6 linked regions of the Nothobranchius furzeri genome follow. The protein of the gene in region 4 purifies or fractionates together with the protein of the main gene of each other region. This does not show direct contact. Links are inferred from orthologs where the notes say so. Each region holds a gene or a part of one and is shown on either strand. Other genes may lie near its edges.

What was found.
Region 1: the proteins of polr2d (region 4) and rngtt purify together in Homo sapiens (affinity purification with mass spectrometry; 3 studies listed by BioGRID and IntAct, with this or other methods). This does not show direct contact. The link is inferred for Nothobranchius furzeri from reciprocal best matches to the Homo sapiens genes POLR2D and RNGTT.
Region 2: the proteins of polr2d (region 4) and rprd1b purify together in Homo sapiens (affinity purification with mass spectrometry; 3 studies listed by BioGRID and IntAct, counting the BioPlex papers as one, with this or other methods). This does not show direct contact. The link is inferred for Nothobranchius furzeri from reciprocal best matches to the Homo sapiens genes POLR2D and RPRD1B.
Region 3: the proteins of polr2d (region 4) and crsp7 purify together in Homo sapiens (affinity purification with mass spectrometry; 3 studies listed by BioGRID and IntAct, with this or other methods). This does not show direct contact. The link is inferred for Nothobranchius furzeri from reciprocal best matches to the Homo sapiens genes POLR2D and MED26.
Region 5: the proteins of polr2d (region 4) and med19a purify together in Homo sapiens (affinity purification with mass spectrometry; 4 studies listed by BioGRID and IntAct, with this or other methods). This does not show direct contact. The link is inferred for Nothobranchius furzeri from reciprocal best matches to the Homo sapiens genes POLR2D and MED19.
Region 6: the proteins of polr2d (region 4) and rpap2 purify together in Homo sapiens (affinity purification with mass spectrometry; 5 studies listed by BioGRID and IntAct, counting the BioPlex papers as one, with this or other methods). This does not show direct contact. The link is inferred for Nothobranchius furzeri from reciprocal best matches to the Homo sapiens genes POLR2D and RPAP2.

The regions. Positions count from the first base shown.
Region 1 is NC_091742.1:9,448,823-9,453,643, forward strand, and holds part of rngtt (mRNA-capping enzyme), read left to right. Parts: intron 1-998; coding exon 999-1,251; intron 1,252-4,090; exon of another isoform or gene 4,091-4,215; intron 4,216-4,335; exon of another isoform or gene 4,336-4,429; intron 4,430-4,613; exon of another isoform or gene 4,614-4,703; intron 4,704-4,821.
Region 2 is NC_091755.1:32,651,333-32,656,897, reverse strand, and holds the start of rprd1b (regulation of nuclear pre-mRNA domain-containing protein 1B), read right to left. Parts: upstream 3,569-5,565; 5' UTR 2,914-3,568; coding exon 2,763-2,913; intron 198-2,762; coding exon 68-197; intron 1-67. UniProt on the Homo sapiens protein: Interacts with phosphorylated C-terminal heptapeptide repeat domain (CTD) of the largest RNA polymerase II subunit POLR2A, and participates in dephosphorylation of the CTD by RPAP2. Transcriptional regulator which enhances expression of CCND1.
Region 3 is NC_091751.1:71,980,635-71,985,952, reverse strand, and holds the start of crsp7 (mediator of RNA polymerase II transcription subunit 26), read right to left. Parts: upstream 3,665-5,318; 5' UTR 3,457-3,664; coding exon 3,385-3,456; exon of another isoform or gene 3,288-3,384; intron 2,542-3,287; coding exon 2,467-2,541; intron 2,381-2,466; coding exon 731-2,380; 3' UTR 1-730. UniProt on the Homo sapiens protein: Component of the Mediator complex, a coactivator involved in the regulated transcription of nearly all RNA polymerase II-dependent genes.
Region 4 is NC_091753.1:55,726,820-55,732,099, reverse strand, and holds polr2d (DNA-directed RNA polymerase II subunit RPB4), read right to left. Parts: upstream 3,354-5,280; 5' UTR 3,175-3,353; coding exon 3,099-3,174; intron 2,905-3,098; coding exon 2,724-2,904; intron 2,652-2,723; coding exon 2,556-2,651; intron 2,449-2,555; exon of another isoform or gene 1,993-2,448; coding exon 1,914-1,992; 3' UTR 1,711-1,913; coding exon of another isoform or gene 1,491-1,710; 3' UTR 1,071-1,490; downstream 1-1,070. Other genes in the region: dual specificity protein phosphatase 14, read left to right, coding at 1,491-1,710. UniProt on the Homo sapiens protein: Core component of RNA polymerase II (Pol II), a DNA-dependent RNA polymerase which synthesizes mRNA precursors and many functional non-coding RNAs using the four ribonucleoside triphosphates as substrates.
Region 5 is NC_091741.1:91,561,097-91,565,564, reverse strand, and holds part of med19a (mediator of RNA polymerase II transcription subunit 19-A), read right to left. Parts: intron 2,532-4,468; coding exon 2,398-2,531; intron 2,315-2,397; coding exon 2,218-2,314; intron 2,137-2,217; coding exon 2,042-2,136; intron 1-2,041. UniProt on the Homo sapiens protein: Component of the Mediator complex, a coactivator involved in the regulated transcription of nearly all RNA polymerase II-dependent genes.
Region 6 is NC_091751.1:71,628,437-71,633,257, reverse strand, and holds part of rpap2 (putative RNA polymerase II subunit B1 CTD phosphatase rpap2), read right to left. Parts: intron 1,737-4,821; coding exon 740-1,736; intron 1-739.

The sequences.
Region 1 (4,821 bases), on a different chromosome or scaffold from region 4:
TCCTCAGGCTGCAAAAACAAAATGATATCCGTTAGAGAAATAGCAGGGGCAAACCTGATGCACCAGATGTTTGGCTGCACAGAAGGTCGTGTTTGGAAGCCGCTGGCTAAAGGAAGAGAGAAGACGTTGACTGCTGACACGATGAGTCTGCTGTCGTCTGTCAGTCCAGCATGAACCAGTCAGATGAACCGACCAGATGGTGACTTCAGTTTGTGGTGAAGCCGTTCAGTCGGAGAGAACACATCTTTATTTATTTATTTTTTAGGAAAGCCTTCTGCTTTGTCATTTTTGCTTTTTGCCGTAAAATGATCTTCTGTAAGTATTATTGCCCTAACTATGTTGCAGTAATTCCCTAACGGCTTCCAGGATTAGCTTGTCCACAACAGCCGTGGCTCAGGCACATGGCAAACATGCTTTTATTTTCCGTAAGGAAAGCACATTTCATTTTCAAAAGGATATTATAGTTGAAATGTCGTCGATGCGGTGGAGATCGGTGCAACAGATGGGACACCGTCAGACCTAAACAGGTGATGAGGAGCATAGCTAATGCAGGATTATTTTACAGCACACTAGCAGACCGTTTCAAACAAAAGGTAAAGAATCTCGTCTGGTTTGATCCATTAAAATATTCACAAACGTACACTTTAATATGATTTTATGATTCAGCTGCATGTTAAAGCCCTTCTTGGCGGATGACTGAGATTGGAAATCTTATTTTACTCTCAAACAACTTCAAAATGATGAGCAGTCGTAAGAAAATACCTGACTCCCAATGAGTCAAATAAAAGAGTTAATTGTGAGGTGTTGACCGACAATGATCCAGAGCCTTCAGCAAAATATAAAAGCATAAAGGAAATGAAGAAATTTCTATATTTAATTTGGATTAGTTAATTTTTATTATTATTAGGCATGTCCCAGCTAAAACCACCAAACATATGATGTCAGTATTTCTTTTGTCTACAGTAAATGTTCCTCTCTGTTCTGCCTTTCCTTATCAGCGTGGAGGCAGCTGTAGCTGCTTTCGCCCAGGCACGGGCCCCTGGGATCTATAAGGGGGACTACCTCAAAGAGCTTTTCTGTCGCTATGGTGATGTGGAGGACACACCCCCTGCACCTGAACTGCCCGAGTGGTGCTTTGACGACGGCGACGAGGACGAAGGGGACGATGACGGTAACACGGTCGGTCAGGAGTCTGGCCCCAGCTCCTCGGGGTCGGCCCCTGGGAAAAGAAAGAAAGAGAAGCTAAAGCTGGTAGGAAGCAAAAACACAAATAAAAACTCTGTTACTGCATCCATCCATTGTCTGAACCTGCTTTGTCTACGTAGGGTCGCGCGGGGGGGGGGGGGGGGGGGGGGGGGGGGGTACACCCTGGATAGAGAGCCAGTCCACCGCAGCTCCTTTACTGCAGCTGTAATTTTCATTAAGTTAAAATCAGTCTAATTCATTACTCATGTTTAGTTTCAGTCCAGCCTGGAACATTTAAAGCCCAGCCAGTGAGATAACGAGCTGTTATCGACGGATGGAACGGAAGAAAGTAAATAACTTTCGCCGCTGTGACACATTTGTTTAAAACACATGGACAGAACTTGCATTTGTCACTTTTATTGCACACAGAGCTTATTGAAGAGCTGAATCAAGGCAAATCTAATAGCCGAGAATGCGATGCACCAGACGGATCAGAAGGAGAGCGCCGTCGTCGCTGCAGCAGCTCTTCAGTCTGCAGCTTTCATTAAGAACTACTGTCTGTTGGCTGAGAAGCTCGTCTCGACTAGTCTGAGGCGGTTTGGCTGTGCTGTGGAGTTATAGCCACTGGGATGCTGCTTTAATGGCGTGTGCGATTGTTTTTGTGGTCATCTAAAGCTCCCTCTGCAGCAGCTCTGTGGGACCGTGGAGGTCAGGTCTTCAGAGCATGGTCACAGTTTGTTTGAAAGCTTTTCTCGCTCAGAGATTTTTAATCTGAGATTAGATCCCGGTCTCAGTCTGTTGCACTCTGTTCTAACAAAGCATTTAAGAGGAAGCCAGAATATACTGCTGATGGTAAATTACATAAGGAAGTCACGTAAGGCTAAGCAATTCATAATTATTATAATATTATGAACAGTTCACAGTAGGATGATGCAGCAAGGTTTTAATTCTGTTAAACAAACTGGAGATTTTTAATTATCCAAAATAATTATCGATTATTTATTATCAAAACAAGACCATTTTAAGTTACTGTTGGGATTTTCTCTTTAAATTAACCTAGTTTATTGAAAAAAGGACCAAATCTTTACTCATGGATATTTGAACGATTCCGATTCCAGTTCCTTGTTTCGATTCCGGTTACTATCCGTTCACGATTACGGTTCTTTCAAGAGGCAGGATCCAAAAACATTTCATGTATTAAATGAGCGAGCTAACCACACATCTTATTGATGAAATAATCTGAACTTCAACATGAATTTTAACTCTATGAACAATAACATCACCTTCGTTTAGACAAAAGCCAGCAAGAAAGAAGGAAATGGTCAATTTGTATTTGTATACCGCCTTCTTGGGGCTCAACAACCCCCCAAAGTGCTTCACAACACAATCAGTCATTCATCCATTCACACGCTGGTGGTGGTGATTAGCTACAGTGTAGCCACAGCTGCGCTGGGGCGCACTGACCAAGGCGAGACCTTCGAACACTGGCACCACTGGCCCCTCTGACCACCACCAGCAGGCGAGGAGGGTTAAGTGTCTAGCCCAAGGACACAACAGCAGCATTATTTGGTCGGAGCCGGGATTGAACCAGCAACTTTCCGATTGCTGGACAACCCGCTCCCCCTCCGGAGCTTCTGCTGATCAGTGTTTTTGTTTCTGACCACAACCAAAGTATGGGAACTGAAGAAACCTCTAGGATGAGAGGCAAAATGCTGATAAAAGGTAAATAGTATTAAAGTAGAATTATTTTGAGTTAATTTGATATATTTTCAGTCAGTTTTACTCGGCTCCACAAAAACAATCAGTTTTATTTTTGTTAAAAAGTCGTTGTGTCTGGCAAACCTCCAGAGTCCGGTTACTGGTCAGACGCCCGAACCATCTCTGATTACTCCATTTGATCAGGAGGAGCAGCGGCTCTAACATTCCTCAGCTTCTCACTGAAGGCCAAACATGGCCGCCCTATTGAGGAAGCTGATTCCAGCTGCTTACGGTATCTCCTGCATTAGCTTCTGACAGAAAATAGCTGGTAAAACCTTAGGATTTAAAAACACTGACAGATCCAATCTTGGCTTGCGACGGCGAAGGCTGTTGTTTTAGCATCCAGGAATCAACAACGGCTGTGTCTCAATTCAGGGTCTGCATCCTTCGAAGGACCCAGCCCACTCGGCCGACGTGGGCTGGGTCCTCCGTCGGCCGGGTAGACCGGATGTTAACGGCTGTGAATTTGGACAGGCCTAGCCTTCATGAACTCCCTCCGCGAACGTTCCGTCGCCTAGCAACCGTGGAACCGCTGGGCAGAAGGGAGAAGGAACTTTAAACGATGGAGCTCGACGTTTTATTTAGCTTTTTAACCCCCAGAAACCCAAATTTAGAAAACAACTGCAAAATCTTTTTTTAACCTTTCACATGTTGTTCTAGGAGGCCAGATAAACGGGCCTATTTACACATTTTAACAGCCAATAGTGTTGCAGAACTGAACAATAGGACCTATTAGCAATGTAAATGTAGTTTTAAAAAAGAAAAAAAATGGGGAAGGTTTATTCTTGTAGACTTAAATCTGATGTTGTAATATTACAACCGTGGGTCTCTGGGGGTTAATCATTTCCTTGACTGTTGGAGAGCTAATTCAGAGAAAATACTTTAGACAAGCTGAGCCTGAGCAAAGATGTGATAATAGTTTTTAATACTTTCTAAGGGTCTTAATTTGACCAAAACCAATTTATCACCTTTTAAGACTTTAAGACCCAGCGGATACCCGGTAATATTGAACAATTCTCATTTGTAAACAAAAATAAAATTCAAGAGTTTAATGCAGAACTGATTTTATTTAGATATTTCTTTTATATGTACATGTTTAATCTTTATTAACCATTTTTTTCTAGCAAAGTAAAAAGTTGTCAAAGTTCTCCCTTCTCTCCTGTGCCCTCTGCTGCTCTGCCTCCATCTGCAGCCTCATGTCCTCCCTGATCAGCTCCAGAAGCTGGTCATCGCTGGCACCTTCCCCTGGATGCCCATTTTCTCCAGAATAGTCTTAACAAACATGTAAGAAAAGAAACAGGAAGAGAAAAGAGGACAACGGGTTATTCCTTTCTTGTTTTCGCAGAAAAAATAAACTCAAACGAGTTTTTAAAATATGAGATGTTATTGTACCTCCATGCCACAGCCGCCGAATACTTTGCTCCGGTGATCATGTGGTCCATCTCCGCCCTAAGCTTAATAAATTCCCTGGTTTTCTCTTTTGTTCCTAAAATACAAACTTCTATTAAAATCAGGGGGAAAACGTAGCGGGAGAAGTACGACACCGAGCGCGGCCGAACATATGAGCCGAGACCGCAATACAAGCACTTTTACTGTAACATTTCTAACTAAAATAACGTTCATGTATCACAAAAAGTCCTTAACCTAACAGTTTTCAAGTTTATACTGACATTTATATGCGCAATCCTCTCCGACAGCTCCCGCTTCACTGTCCGCCATTGTTTTTAAGTTTTTCTGCCGGCCGGCCCGCAAGGCATCTTGGGAAATGCTACCTGTTGAAGGATACACCGGACCCATCCTTCATTCAGGCGAAAAGAAGGCCGCATTCGTCGACCGCATTTGAAGGAGTCTTCGAATTGGGACAGGCCGAGTCGCGGC
Region 2 (5,565 bases), on a different chromosome or scaffold from region 4:
TTTAGTTTAAAAAATGCATCTCACAAACAACAAAACATCATTTACTGATGTCCGTGTTAAAAGGTACCTGGCTACGTGGGAACAGGCATCCACCAGCACAGTCTCAAAGTCTTTGGTGAACTCCGGTCCTTTCTTCTTGCTGTTCTGGATCACATCGTTAGCCAGATACAGGAACGTCAACTTCCTGTTGCTTTTAGCTGTAGAAACACATAAAAATACATTCCATTCATTTTATTGTTTGTAACATTGCTTTTCTTTAGGGATGAACAATATGTCAGCATCAATATCGGTATCAGTCGATGCTAGTCATTTTTAAGCATATCGTATCGGTTTGATAAATAAAACTGGGCCGATATTAACAACCAATATTTTTTCCATCTCATCTCCATTTGTTTGCCTGTTTCGGGGGGGGGGGGGGGTAATTGTTTAGTCATGTGAACAGTGCACGGTTTCCCCCAGAAAATGAGTTAAGCCTGGTCGCACGCTCCGTCCTGCAGCGCTCCTCCGTGAGAGCGGGAGTCGGGGGGGGGGGGGGGGGGGGGGGTTTGCACACGTTCCGCTGCTGTTTCTCACCAGTATCAGCTGATGGAGGACTCTAGTTTTGTTGCGCCGTTCGTGTCAGCGGACACGGTAGGGTCTGGGAGGGGGGCGGGCATGGCGCCTAGCCTGGCGGGTGGCCAAGCAAAGCCTGGCGGGCCACCAGGCTTATAAAGCGCTGGGTGAAACCCTGCAGTGAATTAAATCATCTCAGAGGAGTAAATGTGTGTGGGGTGTACATAATAACGTAAATTCAGCTTTAATAATTTTCATTCTTTACAAAATCTGTTGATTTTAGAAGCATAAACTCATTCGCTGCCAGCTGTTTCCTGATCGCCAACGGCCTTCGCTGCCAGCGTTTCTCACCGTTTTTACAGTTTTTTTAAGAGTCACAGAACGTTGTGCGCTAGGATGATGTCGACGCCAAAACAACCAAAACTAAGAGTAGACTCGCCTCTTACATCAGGAAGAATCCGCGTGTTTTGAGCGTTATCCATTCTTTCATAATCCGTTATCGAATTGTGATCGGCAGACGCTTTTCCGGTTCGCGCCTCACTTTTTTACAGGAACGGCCCAAAACGATCTCCTAATACATGGATGTTCTGCTTCCTGATCACATGACGTGTGACGTATGCAGATGAAGATCGGCGTCAGGGCTGAGATGTTTGTTCTCTCAGCACGGGGGCTCGTTCCGAAGCTCAAACTAAAAAAATGCAAATGACGACTTTAGTCGTCAATGGCAGTGAATGAGTTTATGTCAGTATATCGGTATCGGCAAATATCGGTTGTCGGCTATAACAGTGATCTTAATATCGGTATCGGCCCTAAAATTTCATAGCGGCGCCGGTGCATCACTACTTCTCTTCATCTAGTTTACTGCAACTTGTTTATGACTGTGTTACAGTGAATCTGCAAGAAGAAACTATTTGACTCATTAACTGCCACTGACGACAAAAGTGGTCATTTGCATTTTTTTACTGTGTGGGCGTCGGATCGAGTTCCTGCACCGTGAGAACAAACATCCCAGCTCTAAAGCCGATCTTCATCCATGTACATTATATGTCACGTGATCAGGAAGCAGAAAACCCATGTGATAGGAGATCGTTTTGGGCCGCTGTTGTAAAAAAAAGTGAGCGAACCAGAAAAGTTTTTGCCGATCACAATTCGACAACGGATTATGAAAGAACGGATAACGCTAGAAACACGCGGATTCTTCCTGATGTAAGAGGTGAGTCTACTCTTTCTTCTGGTAGTGTTGGTGTTGACATCATCATAGAGCTCTATGTTCTGTGACTCTTAAAAAATAAACAGTGAAAACGCTGAAAAACGTTGGCAGCGAAGGGCTTTTCTGATCAGAAAATGACTGGCCGTTAAGGAGTTAAAAAGATGAAAGAAAATACATTTATTTGATGTTGATATTGATAGTGTCACTAACTTAAAAGTGACATTTCAAGACTCTTAACTCATCATCATTGCAACCCAGCTCTCACAGCTGATGCACATTCATTCATCCATCCGTTGTCTTCCACGTACCCGGAGACGGGTCGTGGGGGCAGTAACCTAAGCAGAAATGCCCAGAATTCCCTCTCCCCAGCCACTTGGGCCAGCTCTTCCAGGGGAATTCTAGGGCGTTCCCTGGCCAGCCGACAGACAATAGTCCCTCCAACGTGTCCTGGGTCTTCCTTTGAGTCTCTTCCCGGTTGGACGTGGCCAGAAAACCTCACCAGGGAGGCGTCCAGGAGGCATCCTGACCAGATGCCCGAGCCACATCAATTGGTTCCTCTCGATGTGGAGGAGCAGCAGGTCTACTCCAAGCCCCTCCCGGATGACCGAGCTTCTCACCTAGGGAGAGCCCAGCCACTCTGCAGAGAAAACTAAATTTGGCCGCTTGTATCTGCAACTTCACTCTTTCGGTCACTACCAAAAGCTTGTGACCACAAATGAGGATTGGAAAGTAGATCGACCGGTAAATCAAGAGCTTACTCAAAAACAAAACATGGATACTGATACTACTTGTACGTCCTGAATAATATACCGCATGGATGGAGTTATTTTCTATGCTTTCTCTTCCATGTTTGATGTAAACATTGGAAGAATTGAAAAGCATCTGCTTATTAATACGTTTGTTAAAATCTGCTTGAAATATGTGACTCCAGCTCATCCTACAACAGCTTTAACTTCATTCAGGGCTATGATCGGACAAGGATCCTGTTGTTATATCTCACCTTTTTTGAGTTCTCGGTGCCAGACTTTGACGATGAGAGCCGAGTGTTTGCGGTGGTGGATGATCCACAGAGACAGAGTCTGGACGCTCTGCTGAGAGCTGCTCAGCTCCGACAGCTTCTTCTCCAAAGCAGATTCCGAAAAGGACGACATGCCAACTGGTTCTAGAGTGTCTAATTCCACTAAAACTGACCCCCACTGGCTCTAAAGCAACCGAGCTCCGAGCTATTTTGGAGAAACTCGCCCAGTCATCAAAACTCAAGTTGTGTCGCTAAACTCGTAGACTTACAGCATTGGACAGCTTTCTACTGCCGGTTACAGATATATATATCTAACGGTAGGAAAGCACTTAAGGAACTAAAGAGCTAACCAATACTTGCTGAAGATGCTTCAATAGCGTAGCTGCTGAATCTTTGTTGAATGCTGTTTGTTTACAGCGATTGCTAACGTTAGCTAGGCGAGCTAAGCAGCCATCTGCAGAACAGTGCAGCCCTGGAGCTCCTCTTCTCTTAACTACGTAAAACAAACACAAAAATCCACAATATTCCTTTTTGAGGTGTTCCAAGCGATGATGTATAAAAGACAATAGCAAAAAATAATTTAAAAAACAACTCACAAACTAAGTTTCTCGCCCTAAATCATGAAAAAAATGCCTCGAAAAATGGCAGCTTGCACTTTCACCTCGACATGTGCGTCGCAGAGAAATGACGTGACAGAACCCGCGCATTATCGAACTGGCAAAACAAAGGCAAAATACACTGTAAAATACTCTAAACACAAAATTGCAAACTCTTATGAACACACAACTCTTTTTACAGAGTTGAATACGTTTCTAATCATTCTATATTTGTTTGCTCACCCAATTTATTTGGCTTAAAACATAATTAAAATTGTATTCATGTAAAGTGTTTACCAAAATGGCTGTCTGGACTTTTTAATTGACTTTTTATGAAGGAGGAGGGCTGTTAATTTCCCACCAGTGGCGAAAAGCTGGAACTGCACACTGCACAAGTATTCTGTTATCAATTTAGAAAAGGAGATGGGGGATTTGGCGCTTCCTAGTGGCATAATGCTGGTGCTGCACTCTTGTTCTGTTAACTATTGAGAATAATGGGGAGATTGAGATTTGGCGCCCCAAGTGGCAACTAACGTAAACTACACCATTGTTCTGTTAACATTTTAGGTTCATGTGTGATGATGCAGTCATTACAATTGCCACATTAGTAAATTAAAATAAATTTAGTACATTTTAAAAATAAAACTTGACTTGCATTGTCAGAAAAATAATAGTAAAAACACAATTCCTGCAACTCTGTAAGCAAACGATTCCATTAGATTTGGTCTTTTAGTCCACTTTAAATCATTAAATAAAATTAATAATTAGATAATCGCTTGTAGCTTGTGTGTATAATAATTTGTCAGTTGCTCACAATGAAAGAAAATGACTGTAAAACATAAACTACAAATCTAGCATACACTGAACTACATGCATTTATTATAACTTGCCTTGTGAAAGAGACAAATGTAATCCAAGTTTGGATGCTCTTCTTGCAGTTTAAGTACATCTTAATAAATAATTTTCTAAATGGCAGCATCACCTTTTTACAAAGCTGCTGTTTGTCTTACCTCGGCTGCTTTTGGTTTCCCAGCTGAACAAACAGTAACTGTGTGTTTATCTTACCAATCACCAGACATTTGTTCTGACGGAAACCAAAACTCAAATTTTAGCCCAGATCTTTGAGTTAAAACAAACTAATTTTCATGATCATTTGCCTTCTTTTTACTGTGGCTGATAAAATACACACTATTCCATTCAAAACAATGGGTTTGGGATCTGCACACATGGACCTTCAGTCAAATATCAGTGCAAAAGATGTGTATTATCATTTGAGGTTCAAATATCAACCAAAATGCAAACCATGGTGCACCTGTACAGATTTTTTTTCAATAGGCAGCAAACTAGATGGAAAACAAATGTAGTTTTCATCTGGAGTGAGATCTCTGTTATAACCAAAAAAATCAACAAGACCAAAACAAATCAGATCCAGAACTAAGCTCATTGTTTACAGTAAATTGAGTTCAGTTGTGACTGCAATTAAATAAAAAAGATGATAAAATTCCAGTCAGTCATGTTTACCTAATATATATATATATATATATATATATATATATATATATATATATATATATATATATATATATACATACATATTTTTTTCTTCATAAAAGAGCAAGTCACCCCCTACACAAAAAAACTTACTCTACTTCCACTTCATGTTTGAAAAATGCAACAAATGCTGTTGCCTGGCAGACCGAGAGGGCGGAGCCGCTAACAAATACACACAAACAGGCTCACAACAGCATAGTGACATCATAATATACCAGCTAATGTCATTGCGTACCTCTTAGCCAATAGCGATGGCAGATTGAAATTCAAATGTAGCGCAGAGTTTTTACCTCATGGCGGTGCAACACTGACAGTTTTAGACAGAATATTTAAATTTTAACTAAGATGCACTAACGTGCCAAAATATTGACTACACATGTCTGCAGCACAACTAGACACTCATTTATATAGTTTATCAGCAAAAAAGGTAGATTTGGGGGCGACTTGCTCTTTAAGGTCCTTGAACTCTAGTCTTTCCCCCAGGCTCAATAGAGGAACAACATTAATCAGGATCACAGGGAAACACAAACTCCTTTACTACAAATTGCAAATCATCAAAGGTGATGTTTCTTTTTGTTGCCACAATTTTTTTTATAATTTATTCTTAGTTTTTTCTAACTATTTCAATGATTTTTCAA
Region 3 (5,318 bases), on a different chromosome or scaffold from region 4:
TTCTTTTAAATAGAAATAAAATTTAGAAGGTCACTCATCACACAAGGAAGGGCCGAAATGTTCTCCACCTCTGACTTTTTATGTCGGCGGTTTAAACAGGAAACGGGGCGACTTTGGGCGCATGACTGAGACACGTCTACATTCACATAAAGGCCGTTAAACTCCAAATGAAAGTCTGTTAAACAGCTTCTGAGGATCCTGCTTTAATCCCGCCCACCTGACGGTTTCTGATGGACACGAGATGTGTGTGTCCACGGGCCAGAACCATCAAACCAACCCAGAGGTGCGGCTATGCCTGCATCAGTCACCGAGGATTAGATGGGAGAAGAAAAACATCCCATAAATGAACTAAATAGATGTTTAGATAAGAAATGCACCCTTCAGTCCAGATGAGGCCTCTTGTTGCAGCTCATGTGCTCCAGCGCTCCTGGACACACTGGGCTGGACAAGACCAGCAAGCCTAGCTTAGTCCAGCCCAAGTCCTCTTAACGTCTTCATCACTACCAGTGGTTCATTTGGTTTAAACTGAAACTCAAACAGCCCTTGATGTTAAAACTTAACTCTTTAGGTTTCATACCAAAGTCTCAACACTCTCACAGGCGGAGCTGTGGCGACGGGAGTCGAGCGGCCTGGGCTCGTACCAAACTCGCAGCAGACAAACAAAATCACAAAGGATCTCGTCTCCATCGAGACAAAAGGTGAAAAAGAACCAGCAGCCGTTCTAAAGCCCTCAGTCCAGGCACACATATGGCAGGATGTTCAGTCTGCTTTCGTCTCCATGAGGGTCCAGTGATATACACGCTGTCCAATCATACCAGGCTCCCTTGGTGTCGTAACAACCGTTCACCCCCTGCCAGGTCTGTGTGTGTATTCTGTCCAGGTCCTCATCCGTCACCTCCCGACTCACACCTGGTAAATCTCCTGTTAAATGGTCCGTCTGCAAAACGTGTGTTTTATTTGAGTCTTTAGTCTCCCTTTCTTCCCTTTTTAGATATTCTGACATGAAGAAGTGTGCGCTAGGGGCCTGGACCCCCGAGGAGGTGAGCACGTTGCTCTGAAGGTTCAAGTAGGATTGGATTATTTCATTTCTAGTCAGCTCCTTCCAGTTGGTCTGGTGGAAGGGGTTTGAGCTGGGACCTGGGGCGGGGGCTGCACAAGGGGGCTGTTGGACAACGACTTCAGTTCTCTGCCTGGACTCTCCCAGGTCCGGAGTGGGGGGGTCCTCTGTTGGAGAAAGTTCTTTATGCACCAGAGGTTTGATCTGACCAGTGACCGGGTCAAATGTCAGTCTGCGTTCTTTTAACCGCACAGGTTTAGTCGTGTCCTCTAGTTTCAGGCCATCCAAGTTAACGGAGTAGTCTCTAGGCCTGTACTTCCTCCTTTTATGCTCAGAGTTAAGGACTGGCCCATCAGGGTCATCAGACACACTTAAGCTTCTTTCAACCACCAACCTGTGGACCTCTGAGTTCTGCGGGGGAGGCGGGGGGGAGGGGGAATCCAGTGTTGCAGATAGATCTTGGGGAGAGCAATGAGAGAATACCTCTGATGAATTAGCAGAGGGCACTGAAGACCGAAGAGAAGAAAGTTTTTCACTGTGAGACACCGGTGCTGGGGAGGACAGAGGCTGGGAGAAGAACAGGGGGGAGTCTCTAGAAGATGGGCTGGGGACCGGCGTTCCCTTTGCTACGTACGCTGAACGCTTAGAAACGGGGTCTTGCTTTAGGCTCCTGGGACTGGAAGTGAGACTGCGGGGACTCCTCGCTGGGTAATAGCCCCCGCCCCCTTCTTCCAGTTTAGCTTGCTGTTGCATCACAGCAACTTTAATCAACGAGGAAGTGCTAGGTGCTTTGGCCATGCCAGGGGAGCTGGGACGGGGCTTGACAGCATTAACTGGAATTCTGTTTCCTTTGTCATTTTCAAGGTGGTCTGTCCGAGGCCTGTCAGGAGAAGGAACGACCTCCTGGTCGGCCAACGCATCGGCACCACCAGCAGTCCCGTTGGTGGGTGGCGGAGAAACAGAGTCATCAAACGCCGACAACCTGGAGATTTTTTCTGTTACGTACACGCCACTGTCTCTGTGCTCTGCCCGCCGCTTGCGGTTACTTGACTTCTCAGCCTTAGGCGAGTATGTGTTGTGAGCATCACTTCGGATTGTGACTTCTGTGACCGCTTTCCCCGATACAGAAATGTCAGGGGGAGAGGGATCGGTTTTGCAGGGATGGGAACTGCCATTGGTAGACCCCGGGACACTTGCTGAAACAGCCGGCCCAGGTTCAATCAGTTTTTGCCAGTTTCTCAGGAGTTTCTTTGCACGCCTTGCAAGGTCTTCATCCTTGGTTTTCCTCCTTACATCATTAATCAGTTTTCCAAGTCGAGTTTCCTGAAAATAAATAATTAAAAAGTGAAAACTATTTTGGCACCACAGCCTCTGTAGGCATTAACCGCCTATGACACGTTCATTCTTACCTCAAGTGCTTCTTTGGTAATCGGATACTTCTCAAGACAAGCGATCACTTCCAATACAACCACCATGTTGCATATCTGCAACAAGGACATGCCAGCAGTTAGTAACCCCCAGCTTCTACTGGTGGCAGTAATATTTAGATTTACAGCTGTAGTCTGTGGATGAAAATGTAATCACACTGGACAATCCCACCCAATCACATTCCCACAGTAACAGGAACTCCAGAGATCTGGACTAACTGCTCCCTGACTCCGGGGTGGAAAACAACATGTTCATCGGGAGAAACTCAGCTGGATGTTTAGCTCCAGAAACCGAACGATGTTGCAAAGCTGATGTGGCACAGAGACACTCAAAAATACCTGGAATCATCTCAGCAAAGGTTTATGAACTTGGAGCAAACCGAGCATCTTGTCGACAGCGTCAGCCCTAGCCCGAGTCGGTGGACCTGCCTGTGTTAGCTAGTCAGGGTAGTTAGCATTTAACTTACTTTAGAAGGAAGGAGCATTTCCTCAACGCTATTCCAGCCACTTGGTTCCCTAAACTTTGTGATTGTTTAAATAAAACATTTTCACTAAAACTGTGCTGTTTGGGATAACTTAAACTTTTCTTTAGATGAGATGATTTCGTAAAACAACGACTGGATTGCTCCTTTATACCAAATCTGCTTTGGTGTTAAGCTACGTTAGCAGCTAACAGGCTACATAACGGCAGATATCCGTCCAATCAACGCAGCGCTGCTGCTAAATTAGCTGGCATGCTAGCTGTCAACTCGCCCCGAGCCTTTTTGTCACCGAGACATCCGACGTGTCGAGGCCGAGCGCACCTTTCAGCGTAGTTTGTATAAACAGCGACGTGCCACCCGAACAGCTGCGTGGATGTTGATAGGCAAACAAGCTAGCGTTAGCTTTAGCATTGCTCACATTGCTCTGACTGTCAATGGCCTGCAGCAGCCGGTCCTTCATCTGCTGCGGGGTTGCTGAGACCGTTGTCATTGCCTGTTCGGTGCGATCCAGGAGATGGAGGGAGGAATCCTCCAAAACGAAAGCCGGGTGACTCAGAAGCCGCTTCGGGAACACGTCGGGCGCCCGAGCAGCATGCTTTCTGTCGCATGTAGGTCTGAGTTGATCTCACATGGAGTCGGAAATATGTGAGCGGAGCGGAGTCGCTGCTGCCTCGGACCTCCTCTCACTACCAACTGCTGGATGCCTCAACGGCCTCCTGCTGCATGCTGGGATACGATGTGTCTACGTCATCACGTTCGTACGTAACCAAGTAAACATCCCGACCACAGTGACGTTTTTAAATATAAACTTTGTGAGTTGTTTTTCAGTAAATATTTGATTGACCGATTTTATATGAAACGTTTAAATTAAATTAAATTCAAGTTTATTTATGCAGCAACTTGGTGGACTGAATGACGGACTGACAGTTATGAAAAACCTGTTTATTACAGATGATACATGTTTGTGATTATAAAAATAACAGATCTAAGACAGATGCTAAAGCACATTGTGATTTCCTACGGACCTGTGAAAAGGACAGCTTTTGAGAGCTTCTGGCTCATGCTGTCACACTGAAAGCTACGAGTGGCTAATCTTGCAAGGTGGTGCATCCTCAGCTTAAAGAACAGGGAGACAACAGATGTCAACAGTGTACGGGAGTGACACTCAGTTCCGTACGGTGTCTCACTGATGAGCTCCCCGAGCAAAAACACATCCTCTGACCCGATCCTCTTGTGCACGATGTAGATGACCTCCAGTGGTTTGATGGGCTGTGATCGTCTGCCCACTGATGCCTGGCGAATTGCCCACTCTGCTGCTCTGATGACCCTCACAGCACCTTCAGATGGGACCACAAGACCCCGTTGTTCTGCAGAGACAGCAAATGTAGCTCTGGTCATCACAGGCAGATGCAGCATCATCACCAGGCTGGCACGGCAGACATCACAGGACAGCTTGGTCATGGCTCGCCGCACAACAAATCCTGAAATTACAATTACTAATGTAACTGGACAGTGTGCTTGTCTTCATACTTTACATAAGCCTATAGAACAACACGGTGTCAGGTGAGAAATCAGACAAGAACTACAGTTTGTCTACCTAAAGTAATCATGATTAGTAAGTGTGGCATTAATTCCTTGTATTTATTAATCAGGGGGATTTGATGAGCCAGCAGTTTTTCTAAAGACTACAAACATCTTTTGTGTTTTTCTTCTGACCGCTTTTTTAGGTTCTTTTTGAAACACGGGGAAGGTTTTTTACCTGCTGACACTTTTGATTGTGTCTGCGATCTTCCTCAGAGCTGACCCCACTGAGCGTTTTTTTTACACTATCTGAATGAATAATAGTTCAAAAGCAAAGCAGATGACAGAGACTTATCAGCCTAACACAGTTGAATGTTTGTTATTGTTAAATCGTATGAATGACACGTTGCCGTGACTGAAGACATCGTCTATTAGAGCATCCATAAGAAGCACAAAAGTCAGGCATGCTTGTTGTGTTTCACGCGTATTTCGTGTCCCATTGATCATTTTTCCTTGACCACAAAAACAAATCATGACATTCCAATTAGATGACGTCAGCACATCTGTTGCACGTACGTTGATGAAGCCGTATGGAGTTGTGAGAGCAAGCATTGCTGGAATCCGAGTGTTCACTCGTATTTGTTCGTAGCGAAAGATTCATGGTAGTTTTGAGGGATTTTTTGGCTGCTGCAGGCCCCCGTACTTGTTACCTGGTCACACAGGTGGGTGGGCTCAGCCCATCTCGCCACACAAACAGGAAAAAAGACACCTGAAACTGTATGAAGCATGACGGCTAAATATGGGAATTCATCTTAATTATTACAGATGTGA
Region 4 (5,280 bases):
ACGTTTGACCTTTTAGCTGTAGATAATCTATAAAAAAAAACAAATGTCTATATTTCTATTTTTAAAGCTTAAACACTTTAATCTAGTGATGCGGCAATACTGATATTAATATCACTGTTGTGGCCGACAATCAATATGGGCCGATATCAATATACAGACAATAATGTGTCTAAAATCAGCAGATTTTGTGTAGAATGAAAATTATTAAAGTTGAATTTTCGTTACAAACACCACACACCTTTACGTTTCTGAGATGATTACAATGACTGTCACATGACAGAACAAATACCCCCCCCCCCAAAAAAAAAAGATAAGCAAATGGAAAAATATAAGTTGTTAATATCGGCCCAATTTTAAGCTTGATTTATGCTTGACACGTCCGCGAGGTTCGCGTGGCTAAATTGCGTCATTTTAACAACCACGCCCCTCCACCCGGCCCAAACTTTCTGCACCGCGCACCCAGGAAAATTTCTAACCACGCGGACGGTCGGACGCGGAAAAACATGGCGGACCGGCAAGAACTAGTATGGCAGAGGTTCATAAATACAGACATTTGTATGATTCAGCTCTCAGAGGTCACCGTGATCAACATGTTAATAATTCTTGGACAGAAATAGCTCACACTGTCGGAAAAGACGAGGACGCTGTTAAAAAATGCTGGAATGCCATGTTGTAAACAACATGAGTTTTTACTTCTATGGTGTAGTGTTGGATGCATGCCGTAGAGCTCCATGCTGCCCCCTACAGTTTGGGAGAATATTGGCTCACCGCAGAGACGAGCCGCATGAACCATAAACGCTGCGAGTTGTGAAGCGCGTTCCATCCGCGAGCCGCATCACCAAGCGGAAAGTAAATGCGTCAAGCATAAACCAAGCTTTAGTCATCGGACCGATACCGATATGTCAAAAATCACTAACATCGGCTGTTACGATATATTGTGCATCCCTGCTTTAATCGGCTACAGCCGTAGTCGGGTTTTTCTCCATATTTTAATAATGTTACACGTTATGCTTCCTGGTTGGTGATGGTGGTGGCAGCGTTGACCTCACACACACACACGATGGAAGCTCTTTAACTCACACCCACCTCACTGGTTTTATTTTTCTGTTTTGCACAACAAAATACAACATAGATCAATCTGCACCACTGCATTAGCTGTGCTGGCTCAATGTCATAAAAAACACAAAGGCTAAGATTAAACTCCTTATGCGATCTCTACATCAATCAAAATAAGGGTCCTGGATGTGCAGTGTCACTCTAAACTGTGAAGGTGTGATGAAAGGTGTTTTTTTTTTACTTTGGAAGCTAATCGTGAACCACTGGATACTTTCATCCTATTTTCAGGGCAATAGAAATCCAGACAAGACAAGCTGAAGCACCAAGTTTGCTCTGGGGTCTCAGGGGGTGCCGTGCAGCTATGTTTGGTTCTGTTTGTCTGGGACTCACTCAGGTTAACACTTGTCTGATGGTTCTGGTATGTGTCTCTTTAGGGGTACCGGTCTCAGCCTGCGTCAGGCTTACAAACTGGTTCTGGAGAGCCGGCCATTCATCCGACCCAACGCCGGGTTCTGGAGGCAGCTGATGAACTACGAGAAGCTCCTGTTTACCAGGAACACGATGCAGATGGTGAGGACATCTGCTGGGGTTTTGCCTGAAGTAATACAAGAGCCAGAGGAGACGGGTGCTGCAGTGTACTGCGTCAATGTGTGACAAGGCGCTGACGGGACAGAACCTGGTCCAACAGGAAACAACATGGAAGCAGATGTTCCTCTGTTGGTTTCATCCAGCTCTTCTGTCCATCTAGTATGGATTGGTGTCAGGAACTTGAAGGAGTAAAAACCAACATGAAACAAACAAACAAAAACAAAAAAAGGGCAGAAATTATCGCAGAGCACGGCGGGTCGGTTCTGGTCTTAGTACTGGAAGCTCCTCTTTGTCTGGATGTCGTCCAGGATTTGCTGCAGCTCCTCGTCCTCAAACCGACCCTCCACACTGGAAACAGATTCAATCCCAACTTTATTCAGACAGAAACTTCAGTTCTCTACACAGATCCTGGTCTTTGACCCGGTCCACATGTATGTGGGCTGAACTGAACCAGAACCGGTTCCATCTGTAGTGCTTTACTATGAAGCTGTGTAGAGCTAGCACGCGACCGGGTTTAAGTACAAATCCCAGAATGAATGGGAACAAGCTTGTTCCATGTTTAGAACTTCCTGTTGCTCAGAGCAGGATGCGTGTTCACAAGCTTTAAACCCAGCTGTTCAAAGAAAACACTTTCAAAAGATAAATAACAACACATTAACCCTAAAATTAACTACAGAGATAACATTCTCAGATCCTAATATAAATATGGTTACCAACATCAATTAGAGTCTCAAAAAAGTGTTTTTGCCATATTGCTTGAAATGCTCTTCACCTACTAATAAATTAAACGTTTTAGACAGAAAATGTAATCGTTTTATTCGCCTCTGAAACGGAAAATCCTGGAAACACCTAAATTATCTGGTCCTTGAGCAGATAATTCAGTGGGTCCCCAGGTGGGTTACCTGACTCACCTGGGGATCAGGGCTTTGGCCTCCTCTGCAGCTTCAGGACACAGATTGGCCAGACTAGCCAACTCAAACTTGTGCAGCTTCTTCTGCAGCAGGAGACTGGAGGAGAAATGGTGGATTTGTCACAACCAGAAGGTGGTCAGAAAATCAGTGGAAGCAAGAAAGGCGAACCTGCGCACGGCAGTAATGGTCTCCCGGTTCTTGAAGCGGCTGAAGCGGGCCGTGTAGTTGAGGGTCTTCATGAAGACCTCGGACAGCTCCTGCTCATCCTCGGCGCTCTCGTTCTGCTGCTTCCTGTGTTCCAGCAGCATGTGGACCTCGGAGTTCAGCAGGGTCTCAGCGTTCTCGAACTCTGGACCAGAAATTAAAACAGCTGATCTCTATACTACTTCCTTTTTATATTCACACACACACACACACACACACACACACACACACACACACACACACACACACACACACACACACACACACACACACACACACACACACACACACACGTTTCTGGTGTATCAAACACAGGTCTGCGGTGGCGGTAGTCGTCACCTTTGGGAAACAACAGTTGTGACGCATCTTCTTCTACGTCTCCGAGCTGCGGAGGAGCCGTGCTTCCGGCCGCCATAACGGGCCACGACTCGTTCCGGAGTTCCGTTGAGTCTCGGTACCGTGAGCTGGACACACGTGGTAAGAATTTTAAGAAGAGAACCCGCGCTGTTTCGTTCAGTCACACAAAAACACACCGGTACTTCCGCCTAGCTGCTGCTGTTTCCGCTACTTCCGCCCGTGATCTCCGTTCGCCCCCTGCTGACCGGAGGTCCAGGGTCCTGCTACGGTCAAAGACGAGACGATCAACAAAACTACTTAAAACCAATTAAATACAATTAATTAGAAAAGCAGTAATTAGGGTAGCATGAAGTTCTCCACCAGGTAGACTGTTACTCAAGCTGGGCTTTAGCTCAGATCAACTGCTTATAAATGATCATGTCACTGAGAAAAGCTTTAAAGATGGGGAAGCAGTTTTAGGAAATCCGCATTCATAATAATGAATAAATTCATAATAATAACGGTTAACAGCAAAAGAGGTTAATATGGGATCTTTCACAGATTTCAGCTTATAGGTGACATATTACCAATGATTTTCTGATAACTGTTTGATGTTTTATCTCTGTTATTCCAAATTACTATAATGAGACGTTGTCCCTTCCTCCGTAATTTAGACTGCGTATTTGCACCCTGTGCTGTTTTGCAGGATATTTCTGTAACAGAAAAGAAATTACTGCAAAATGGACTTGCGTTGGCCGGGAATCGAACCCGGGTCAACTGCTTGGAAGGCAGCTATGCTAACCACTATACCACCAACACTTGATGTTCATCACAAGAAATTCCTATTAAAACATTGACAATGTTCAATTTGGTTTACCGATTGTGTCATTTAACTGATCGTTACATCTGGTTGCATTTTTCCAGCTACTGTCCAGCTGCTCTAGACTAAATCAACTTACGGTTAGTTTCGAACGGGAAGGATGAATATGTCAACACTGAAGTCTAATGGCAGAAGTTTGCTTTCGATTCGTTATTCGGTTACTGATTTTACCTGAATGTCATAACCGTGTTCAACTGTCATCAGAGGCGGACCGAACACCGGCCTCACTTGGGTCGACGGCACAATATATACATATATATACATATATATATACACATATATACATATTACTTATTATATTCTATAGGATTATAATAAAGTAATTAATATTTTGATTTCACAGATCGGTCACATCATATTTATTGACTAACACTTTGTTGGATTAGCTTTATTAAAATAGAGTTCTTTGATTAATTAAAAGAAAATAGTCCATTCTTCATTCTTCTGTTGAGCTGAAAATAAGCAGGTTAGAAGCAAATGCATGAGACCTTGAGACCATATCTCATGCAGACTGGTCCTGTGTCAGAGGAGACGGGGAAACAGTCATTTCATTCTGTCACATAAAAATTCACTATTTAACTTTCATTCGTTTTTTTATTAATATTTAGTCTAAACAAACTAACAGCGTGTCCAGCAACATATTAATGTTACAATTAAACAATTTAATTTAAGGTAGGAACATTTTACCTGCTGCTGGCCTGTGACACAGACGCGCTCCGAGCCGTTCTCACAGCTCCTCAGGGAGCTGATAGAGAGCTGCGCTGATGATGTCCAGGTCTGAGATAATGCTCAGATGTTCTGATGGGAATCTTTTCTTGATAGATCTTCCGCAATGATCTCTGTGCGTGATGTTTAAAATGTCTACTCACCCGTATGCGTCTGGTGATTTTAGCCAGAATGACCAGCAGCCTTGAGATTTTTCTGTCAAAATAAACGGTCAAACACGGAGAATGTCCAGTTAACGCGACCCCTGCCCATATTTGACTTTTTTGTCTTTTTTGTAAAGATAGCACGGAAGCCCTTCACACAACAGGAGTCTACCATTTTCTGCAGGTTTATGAGCTCACAGCACAAAGTGGCCAGTGCTTACTTTTTTATACACTTAGCTATCCTATCATGCAACACGCTACAGCACCCGATAGATCACCAGACAAGGACCGATACGAGCTGCCGTAGTGGCCGGCTGCCATCTTAGTTGGGTCTCAATTTGTCCCTGGTGCATTCAATTCTACTGAGGAAGGTGCTTACCCAACTAAAACACATTATATTATCCTTTTTCACAAAATCAGACATATGGTATGGCAA
Region 5 (4,468 bases), on a different chromosome or scaffold from region 4:
GGCGATGCCTGAGCGTGAACGCGCACGAAGCAGCCTGCTCGACCCGAGCAGCTCTCTTTTTCTGTGATTTTACAGAAAAACAGGCAATCACAGTAAAAATGCCAGGGCTCATTCTACAGGACCAGGGCATTGCAGGAGAATGTATGAAGAAGAAATTTATTATTTCTATAAATGTTTTGGCTGTCAAACTTCCATAATGCCCCTTTAAAGAAAGCCTTTCCCATTTCATGCTGCCAGCAATGGCTCCACATGGAAGAGAAATGTCATAAAATCTGAGAAAGGAAATAATGTATTTACACATAAAAGGTGAGGGCTACAAGATCAGCCAAGCTTTACATATCAGTCAGAATACTGTAGCAAAAGTGACCAAAAAATGTAAGACCAAAAAATGTAAGAAAGACGAAAGTGCAACCATCTTACAGAGACGTCCAGGCCGTCCATGGAAGTGAACATCTCAAAAGGAGCGTCTTCTGAAGACTGAAGAAAATCACCATTAAAGTTCACTGCAGTTAGTTAAAGCAGTAGAAAGCCAAACTGGAGTGACCGTTTCCCATGACACCATACAACGCACACTGCAGAGGAATGGCATACATGGGTATTGTCTACGAAGGAAGCCTCTCCTAAAGCTCATGCACAAAAAGCACACCTAGGATTTGCTAGGGCCCGTGCTGAAAGAGATGAAGACTACTGGCACTCTGTACTCTGGAGTGATGAGACAAAGATCACAGTTTGTGGAAGTAATGGTTTCAAAACTATGGCGTTGTAAAGGTGAGGATTTCAAAGAGAAATGCATGGTGCCTACAGTGAAACGTGGTGGTGGTGGCAGTGTCCTTATGTGGGGCTGCATGAGTGCTGCTGGTGTTGGGGAGCTGCATTTCATTGATGGCATCATGAACTCAACGATGTCCTGTTCTATACTGAAGGAGAAGATGCAGCCATCACTCCATGCACTTGATCATTGGAGGGGATAATGCAAAGAAGGATTCTCCAGAGAATCAAGAAAATGATGGACAACCCTGAGCATTCTCTTCACAAGACTGTCCGACAACGGAAGAGTGTCTTCAGTCAGAGGCTTCTTCAGTTTGGCTGCAACACTGACCGCTACTGGAGATCCTTCCTGCCAACAGCCATTGTAATATACAATAACTCTTTGATGACTTGATTATTATTATTATTCTGAGCTACTACAGCAATCAATTTCCCTCTGGTATTAATAAAGTATCTTTGAATTGAATTGAATTTGAATCATTGTGCACGTTTCCACCACGACAATGATCCAAAACGCATCTAAAGCTACTGTTGCATTTCTGAAGAAGAACAGGGTGAAGGTGATTGAATGGCCAAGTATGTCTCCTGATCTGAACACCTGTGGGGAATTCTGAAGGTTGAGCATCACTCTCCATCCAGCATCCAGATTATAAAACACGTTATTCTTGAAGAATGGAAAAAGATAGATGTTAATGTTTATGTTTATTTATTTAGCAGACGCTTTTATCCAAAGCGACTTACAATTTATAACCTATAGGGCATGTTGTGATCTGTGGGGGAAACCGGAGTACCCGGAGGAAACCCGAGCATGCATGGGGAGAACACGCAACTCCACGCAGAAATAGCGACAGTGCAACAACTGTGCCACCATGCAGCCCGATGTTGCAATATGTCACCATCTTGTTCATGCCATGCCTAGAAGACTTGATGTAGTAGTTTTTGTTGAGGGGTGTATTCCTTTTTGCTAAAACCAATTTTAGCAAAACTGAAGATTTTGTGATCCAAGTCATATTAATAGCCTTAATTTCATGTTATGGAGTTAAGCAAGTGTTTAATAAAACCCAGCCTTGTTAAAATTCTGGAAAATTTTTTTAGTTCATTGAGCTACTGATTAAATTTGTACTCTTCAAAGGGGGTGTACTCATTAATACTGAGAACTGGATGAAAAAACAAAACTGCTGTGCGACTTATGTCACAATGCTATTCCGAGTCAACATTTTAAATCTTTTTAATGCCCAGCTAGAAACTTAATTAGTGTTTAAAATTTTCTCACCTTCTTTTTTTTCTTGTCTTTCTTCTTTTTCTTGCGGTCAGGATCATCGTCCCTCTTTTTCTTCTTTTTCTTGGGATCAGAGTCTGACGGAGTTTCTAAAATCAGAACAGACGTGTCAGTGTGGTGAAAAACACGTAGCACTTGTTTCAGCTGACCTCACTAACACGCCACCAGACCTTGTGGGAGGGGGTCCTGTGGTCGATTGTGCTTGTGTTTGTGTTTGCTCTTCTTCTTTGGGGGCTGTATGTGCATCAGTCTGTACTGTTCTGGAAGCTGGAAAAAAAAAAAAACACTACATGTTACATAACGGGGATAAGATGATCATTTATTATCAGGCATAATCAGTGTTGTGGTACCGGTCCTGTATGTAGTCTGAATCCTGTGAGCAGAGCACCAGTCAGCGGGCTGAACGAGTTCCCACAAACGGGAGGCTTATCTATCAGAGAGCGCAGAGAGCTGCCGTCCTGAGTGCCCGGACAGTCGATCATACCTGCAACAAAAGAGACACTATAAAAGTGGAAATAAAGAGCGTGGCTGAAAGGGATCCGTGTAATTTACAGGCCATAGTGAGGAGTCCAGGTGAGATTAAAGAGGCTAAAAAAAAACAACAAATCAGAAACAATGAAAGTTAAACTTTTGGTTTTAGAGATACAGCCTCAGCCCTCAAAGTCTAATTCATTAGAGCGCCCAGAAGTCCCAGCACCTGTCAGAATGCAGGTTTAGATTAACTATAGCTTAAGCCACTGGAGTCAAACCCTGGCCCTCGAGAACTGACCTGCCAGTGCATATGTTGCCAATACTACAGATCCCAGAATGCTTTGCTGCATTATCAGCAGCATCCATGCTACCAGTCTCGAGGAGGGTACGGCTGCGGACCTGGAGACCACAGATTCGGTCTCAGACAAACAAAAAAATGACTGCTTAGTTAGCACCCAGCAATTTGCCAACTTTGAAGCCCAAATATCAAGATTTCAACAGCTCAGTAATCTATTTGTGGCCGACGTGAAAAGCGCAGAAAGCAACCTCCAAATGGAGCCAAATGAGCTCCGGTGTAGTAAAACGCTCAAATTTGACTCTGTGGCTTCTGCTCAGTTTCCATCTGATGTGTTTTATTTCAAAGTTAACTGCCCGTGTGTTGTTAATTTTAAACTTTGGTTATTCCAGAGTAACTATTAATGCAAGACTATGGTTTGTTTCCATATAAAACATTCAACAACACAAATCAGAAGATAAAGAAAATTTTAAGCATTTGCATCCATAAACATTTTCCCATGACTTTGTTCTAGTTTCTCCAGTTTGGCCCAGAGTGAATTTCAGTTTGACACCCCTGGCTTAAACGATGACAAATACAGGTAGAAAATCCTGAAAAAGTATAGTATTTTGTCACTTGTTTAAAAAAATTCATCTGACCTATTATGTAAATTAGGGATGCACGGATAACTTTTTTACCACAAGGAAGGGAAACCATAGAAAGTCATTGCTAAAGAAGCATGTCAGTTCCACTTTACTAAGTCCATCAGGGACCGGACAAGTTGCAAGTGTGATATTCTGGCCACAGGGGGCGGTGGGGGTCTGAGTGACATTTTTTTCACCCTAAGGGTCATTTTAGTACATACTGGCTAAAGAAAACGATGTAAAAATATGAAAAAGTTGCAGAGTAAGCCTCAAGTCCAGGTGTGGTGTTGATATCTAATGATTTGGGCTCCATGTCCTCTCCTGGTGTTGGTCCATTGTGTTTTCTGAAGTCCACAGTAAACTCAGAAATTTACCAGGTACAGCTGAGGAAATTAATCAATAATCGATGCATCAAGATGCAGACATTAATTACAAATCATTGAAAAGGCCCACCATGATAAATTATTGTATAATGCAGTTTTTTAACAGCAGCATAAATATTTGATTCTAAAGTTGCTCCAAAGACCTTCAAAGCTATTACATGGCCCCATAACAGATTTTGTCAACTATGGAAGGCAAGAATTGGACATGTCCTGTAGGTTTTCAGTATTTATTAAGATGTTGGTAGCATTTGCAGAGCTTGTTTTTCCCCACAGCCTGAGATGTAAGTGTTGAATGAGAAAACAGATTTTGTTTTCTTCGTTAAATCTTTTTAAATGTTTAAAATGTTTTGCACTCTTACATTGTTCTAAGGACTGTTGTGATTGAAGGGCTTCTTGGGGAATGACATGTTGCGTCAGACACGTTTTGATAGAAAAGCAAATATCTGACATCTTTTATTAATTGATGAAAGTAAACCCATAAGAAATAATCGTGATGCATTGAGATATCAAATTGAATCGTTGACAATCAGTTCAGTGGCCTAGTGGTTTGAGTGTCCACCCTGGGACTGGATCGGGAATCGAGTGGGAGTTCAAATCCTGGTCGGGTCACACTTAAAACTGAAAAATGGGACCCAGTGCCTCCTCACTT
Region 6 (4,821 bases), on a different chromosome or scaffold from region 4:
AGTGAACTTGTTGACGCCTGCCGCTTCACCTGAGTCGACCCTTCAGACGGGTGTTGTTTACTGTGACCGCTGTTTCAACCAGCTCCAGTATCGCCGAAGGTCCGAGACCTGGCAATTCCTGATCTACACGGGAGGCTCTTACTGGGTACGTAAATACGGCAAATGGCGGCTCATGTCATCAGCTTCTGAAGCCTCGTGGTAGCCTAGTCAAAACAAACCAGATTCGCTACTCAGCCTAGAGATTCTGAACAAAACACACACACACACACCAACCCGAACCATCTACATCCATATGCATCCATCATTGAGATAGTCCTGGTAGATTGTAAGAATTTATAATTATAGAAATTAAAGATTCTTAAACGATCCCAACTTTCTCTCTTTCTTGTCTCTCAGTCAATACAGAGTGTTTAAGTAAACTCCCTGATGATAAAAACGACCACTTCTGATTAATTATGTAGATTGTATAAATATACAAGATCAGGTAATTAAATTATTTAATTGCAGTATATAAATATACAAACTTCATATCACAACAAAGACCTTCCTTGGACATACTATGATTCCAAATGACATGACCGGGAGCCCTGGCCTTTCTGATCAGCTCGTTCTCCACAGCTGGAGATCAGCGGGACATTACCTACATGCTAACCTGAGGCCAACTGAGTTTTGGTCATCATCCTAACAGTGAGTCGTGTAGTGGACTACCAGGAAACACACCAACCCTTCTCCTCCTCACCTCGTTCCTGTTCTCCTCCTCTTCCTTCTCCAGATGAATCCACCTCCCTCTGTAAAACTCTCGAACTCTGAACTCCAGCTGCTCAGTCTCCTTCTGGAGAGTCTTACAGTCGGGTACAGGAGCCGAGGGCCTCTTCTGTTCAGCCACCATCACGTCGTCCTCATCCTCAAGATCATCTTCATCTAACTCCTCCTGTTCTACCTCTTCACTAGAGGAAGTGGAGACCAGTGAATGACCAGCACCGTACAGGAACTTGAGCGTCTCCTCGGTGCACCACTCCTTCAGCGTTCTCTTCAGATACTTGAGAAGACTCAGTGGAACAGAGTCAGGTTCTCCAGTGTGGTTCTTCAGCAGATCTCTCAGCCCGACCGCTCCTCTCCTGCTCACGCCCACCTGGGTGATGCTGAGACCCGGTTGGTTTGATGAAGCTGCATTGTGGTGGCCATGTTTGGTTTCTGCTGGGGTTTCTGTTCCTGTAGGAGGAGGAGGAGGAGAGGTGTGTGAAGGTGTGTGTTCTGACAGAGAGCTGGTGGAAGCGACCATCTCTGATAAACTACACCCTTTCACCCTGCCTCTGGCCTCTTTCACACCTCGGTCCTTGGGTAAATGTTGATCCTCACAAAGAGACGAACCAGAATCTGAAGTGTCTAGTTCTTCAGCAGCTGGCTCTTTTCTTTCATCCTCTTCTTCTGGTTCTTCTTCCTCTTTTGAGTTTCCCGTTTCCCTGGAACGTTCACTTTGAAGTCCTCTCCTCAGCTTCCTCCTTAGCTCTCCTTCATCTGAGGGCTTAGGGGGGTCACCCCAGTGCACCCTGGGTCTCTGCTGCTGGGAGAGCACACTGGAGACAAACTCCTGCTCACTGCCGTCGCCGTGGTCACCTCCTGAAGGTATCTGCTGGGAGCCGGGACGGTCCTCAAGAGGAGAAGCTTGTGGGTTCTCGATGTCGTCTTCTCTGAGGCTCCTCTCCAACAGCATCACCTCCTCACCATAGCGCCCACTGGGGAGGGGGAAGGGGGGGTGTCCACACACACACCCACACCCACACCCACACACACACACGCACGCAAACCCACACACACACACACACACACACACACACACACACACACACACACACACACACACACACACCCACACACACCATTGTTTATAACTAAACATAATTCATGTTTGTTCTCATTATCATTTTATTTATCGAACATGTTTCAGAAGCTGGGGGCGGGGTCAGGGAGACCAACGACCAATGAAAGCATTTAGAACCTCTAAGCTAGGGTGTTTCTCAATGCCAGGCGCCTTGCTCACGAGGACACGGTCCTTCCTTGGTCAAAGAAAACGGTTAAATGGAACAGACTTGCATCTCGTGACCGCGGCTTCCACGGCGGTCACGTAGAGTCACGTGACACGGGAGATAACGTTATATTTTATACGTAATAGTTTCAATATAAATATATAACGAGTTTTTAAATTGTGTATATGTTTATTAAATTAAACATATAAGTGAGTTACTACCCGCTAGCCACCGAAGCTGCAACTACTAAGCAACTAACCAACCATAGATAACTTCTTTGGATCTAAAAGGAAAAACATTTTAAATGAGCTGACTTACTTTTAAACTTGAAAATTGTCCCTGAAGTAGCTGCCGGCTGCTGATCCGCCGTCCTTTAGAAAATATGGCGGTGTATTCTGGGTAATTTTTGACCAAGGCTAGGCTACAAGACACCTCCCGTGTGTCCTTGCTCAGCTAGCTAAACGGCTAACAAACGCCTCGGTAGAACATGAACATTGGAACCGACTGGAACATGTCTTGGCGGCTCCTGATGACGTATCTCCTAGGCAACCGGGGCGGGGCCAAGACATCAAGGCAAGGTCCCTTGACAGTGAGAAACACCCATCGATTCACCTTTACTCTGATTATTAATGTAAAGACAAAATCCTCCGGCGTCTTCCATCGTCCTGCTGCTGGTTCAGAGCAGCACCTAGAGCTACCTCAGCCACCGTCTTCAATGATAAACATCAGCTGTTTAGCACCACCAGCTGGTGTTTATAGTTCACGGTTGTGAGTGAGTCCTCTTCAAACACTCATCAGAGATGTAAAATGAGCTTCTGCAAACAAAAGCCCAAGTCTATAAAACTCAAACATCTACATTCAGGAACAACGAGCCTAAGATCTATGTGGATGAACTGTCTCCCTACGCTGTGATCCTCTACACAATAACTGTTGCACTGAAGGTCTGTAGTCCGATGAAGCATTAATAAATAATGCAAGTACCAAACTCAGCACACTCGGATCTGGCCCAGAGCTGGCCCCGTTTGAAAATAAGCTCTTTCTTGGTGTCAAACTGCATCTTTAAAATTCACGGACATCATGTGTGAAATCCACGGCACAAAACAGGCAGTTAGAAAACAGCGTTTTCTTGCATTCATTCTTTCATTCTGCCGGCGACCCCGGGTCCGGACGTAGATGGACGTGACTTGGGCTCCCTCAAAAAGTGAGAAGATATTTAGCGGCAGACACGGAACAAATTGAAGAATCCGTAGTGGAGGAAGTGTGAAAATATGAACGTTTATTCGTGGACAGAAATGACGAGATACGCGAGTTTAGAGGTGCCGATCGCATAAAGAAGCGTATGGGGGACTAATTTGTTAAAAGTCTCAGAAAAACATTAAAACAATGTAAACACAGTAGTAGATACGCCATCTTGGACCGGATACGTGACTGAAATGGTGGAAGCAAAGCTCAGCGCAGCGCTTTGCCCTCTGTTGTGCTGGCGGGGAGTTGTTTTGCACCAATCCCCAGCGGACGGGGCGGCACGAATGCAAAACGTCTGTCAGTGCCTCTCCCTTGTGGAGCTGAAGGAGCAGAAATGAGTCATGAGTCGTGGAGGATGGCTGCTTATACTGAGCCAGGATCCTCTGGAGTCCTGTTAAAAGGGAGTTTTCCTCTCCACTGTCGCTGCATGCTTGTTTAGTATGAGGATTGCTGTAAAGACTCTGACACTAGTCAGTGACTCGATGCGACCTGCTGGGTTCCTCAGACAGGAAACTTGTTACTGATTGGCTTAACGACCTGACCTGGATTGGGATGTTTATTGTGTGAAGAGCCTTGGCTCTATTAAAATAAACTGAATAGAATTAATGGCTGTCGTTATGCTAACATCTCCCCTCGGAGGGATTATACTCTATTCTGAGTTATTTATGGAGTTTCTATAGATTTCTTGTTACACGTTGTTAATCAGAAGTCAAGAAAGACGTGCTCTGTCCTCATGCAGGCGTATATGTGGGTGTGTCTCAACACTTGGTCGACATTCCATGCTGTAGTTCTTTTAAAACACAGAACAGTTTTGTTACCTGCGCTACGTTTCGTTTGCGGCAGCCGCAAATACGACACAGCAAGAACTCACCTAAGACTTGGTCGACATCATGACAGCAGCAACTAAGTCCTCAGTCTGTGGGATGGGAACCGATTCTTTAAAAGAACCAGCTTAGAACCTGCACAGCATCGGCTCTGGCACCAGCTGGGTGGAAACCCCCACGTAGAACAACGTGGACAAACCCCTAACCCTAACAGGGCAGCTGTAGCTACATCGTAGCTCATCACCACCAGGGTGTGAATAGGTGAATGACTGATTGTGTTGTAAAGGGCCTTGGGGGGTTCCAGGACTCTAGAAGGCGCTATAGAGCTGCTCGCAGGATAAAAACGTGATGAGTCTTTAAATCTACATGCTGGAGCACTTCAGGAGGAGTCTGCAGGACACAGCCAGAACACCAGATTCCTCGTGGGTTGGTCTGACCAGTAAAGTGTGGTGAATAGGACGCTCACCAATAGATGTTAGTTAAAGGTGCATTATGGAAGTGTGACAGCCAAAACATGTATAGAAATAATAAATGTCTTCTTCATACGTTCTCCTGCAATGCCCTGGTCCTGTAGAATGAGCCCTGGCATTTTTACTGTGATTGCCTGTTTTTCTGTAAAATCACAGAAAAAGAGAGATGCTCGGGTCGAGCAGGCTGCTTCATGCGCGTTCACGCTCAGGCATCGCCCGTAGCATTTGCTATCCGTAGCTTTAGCAGCAGAGAGAGAG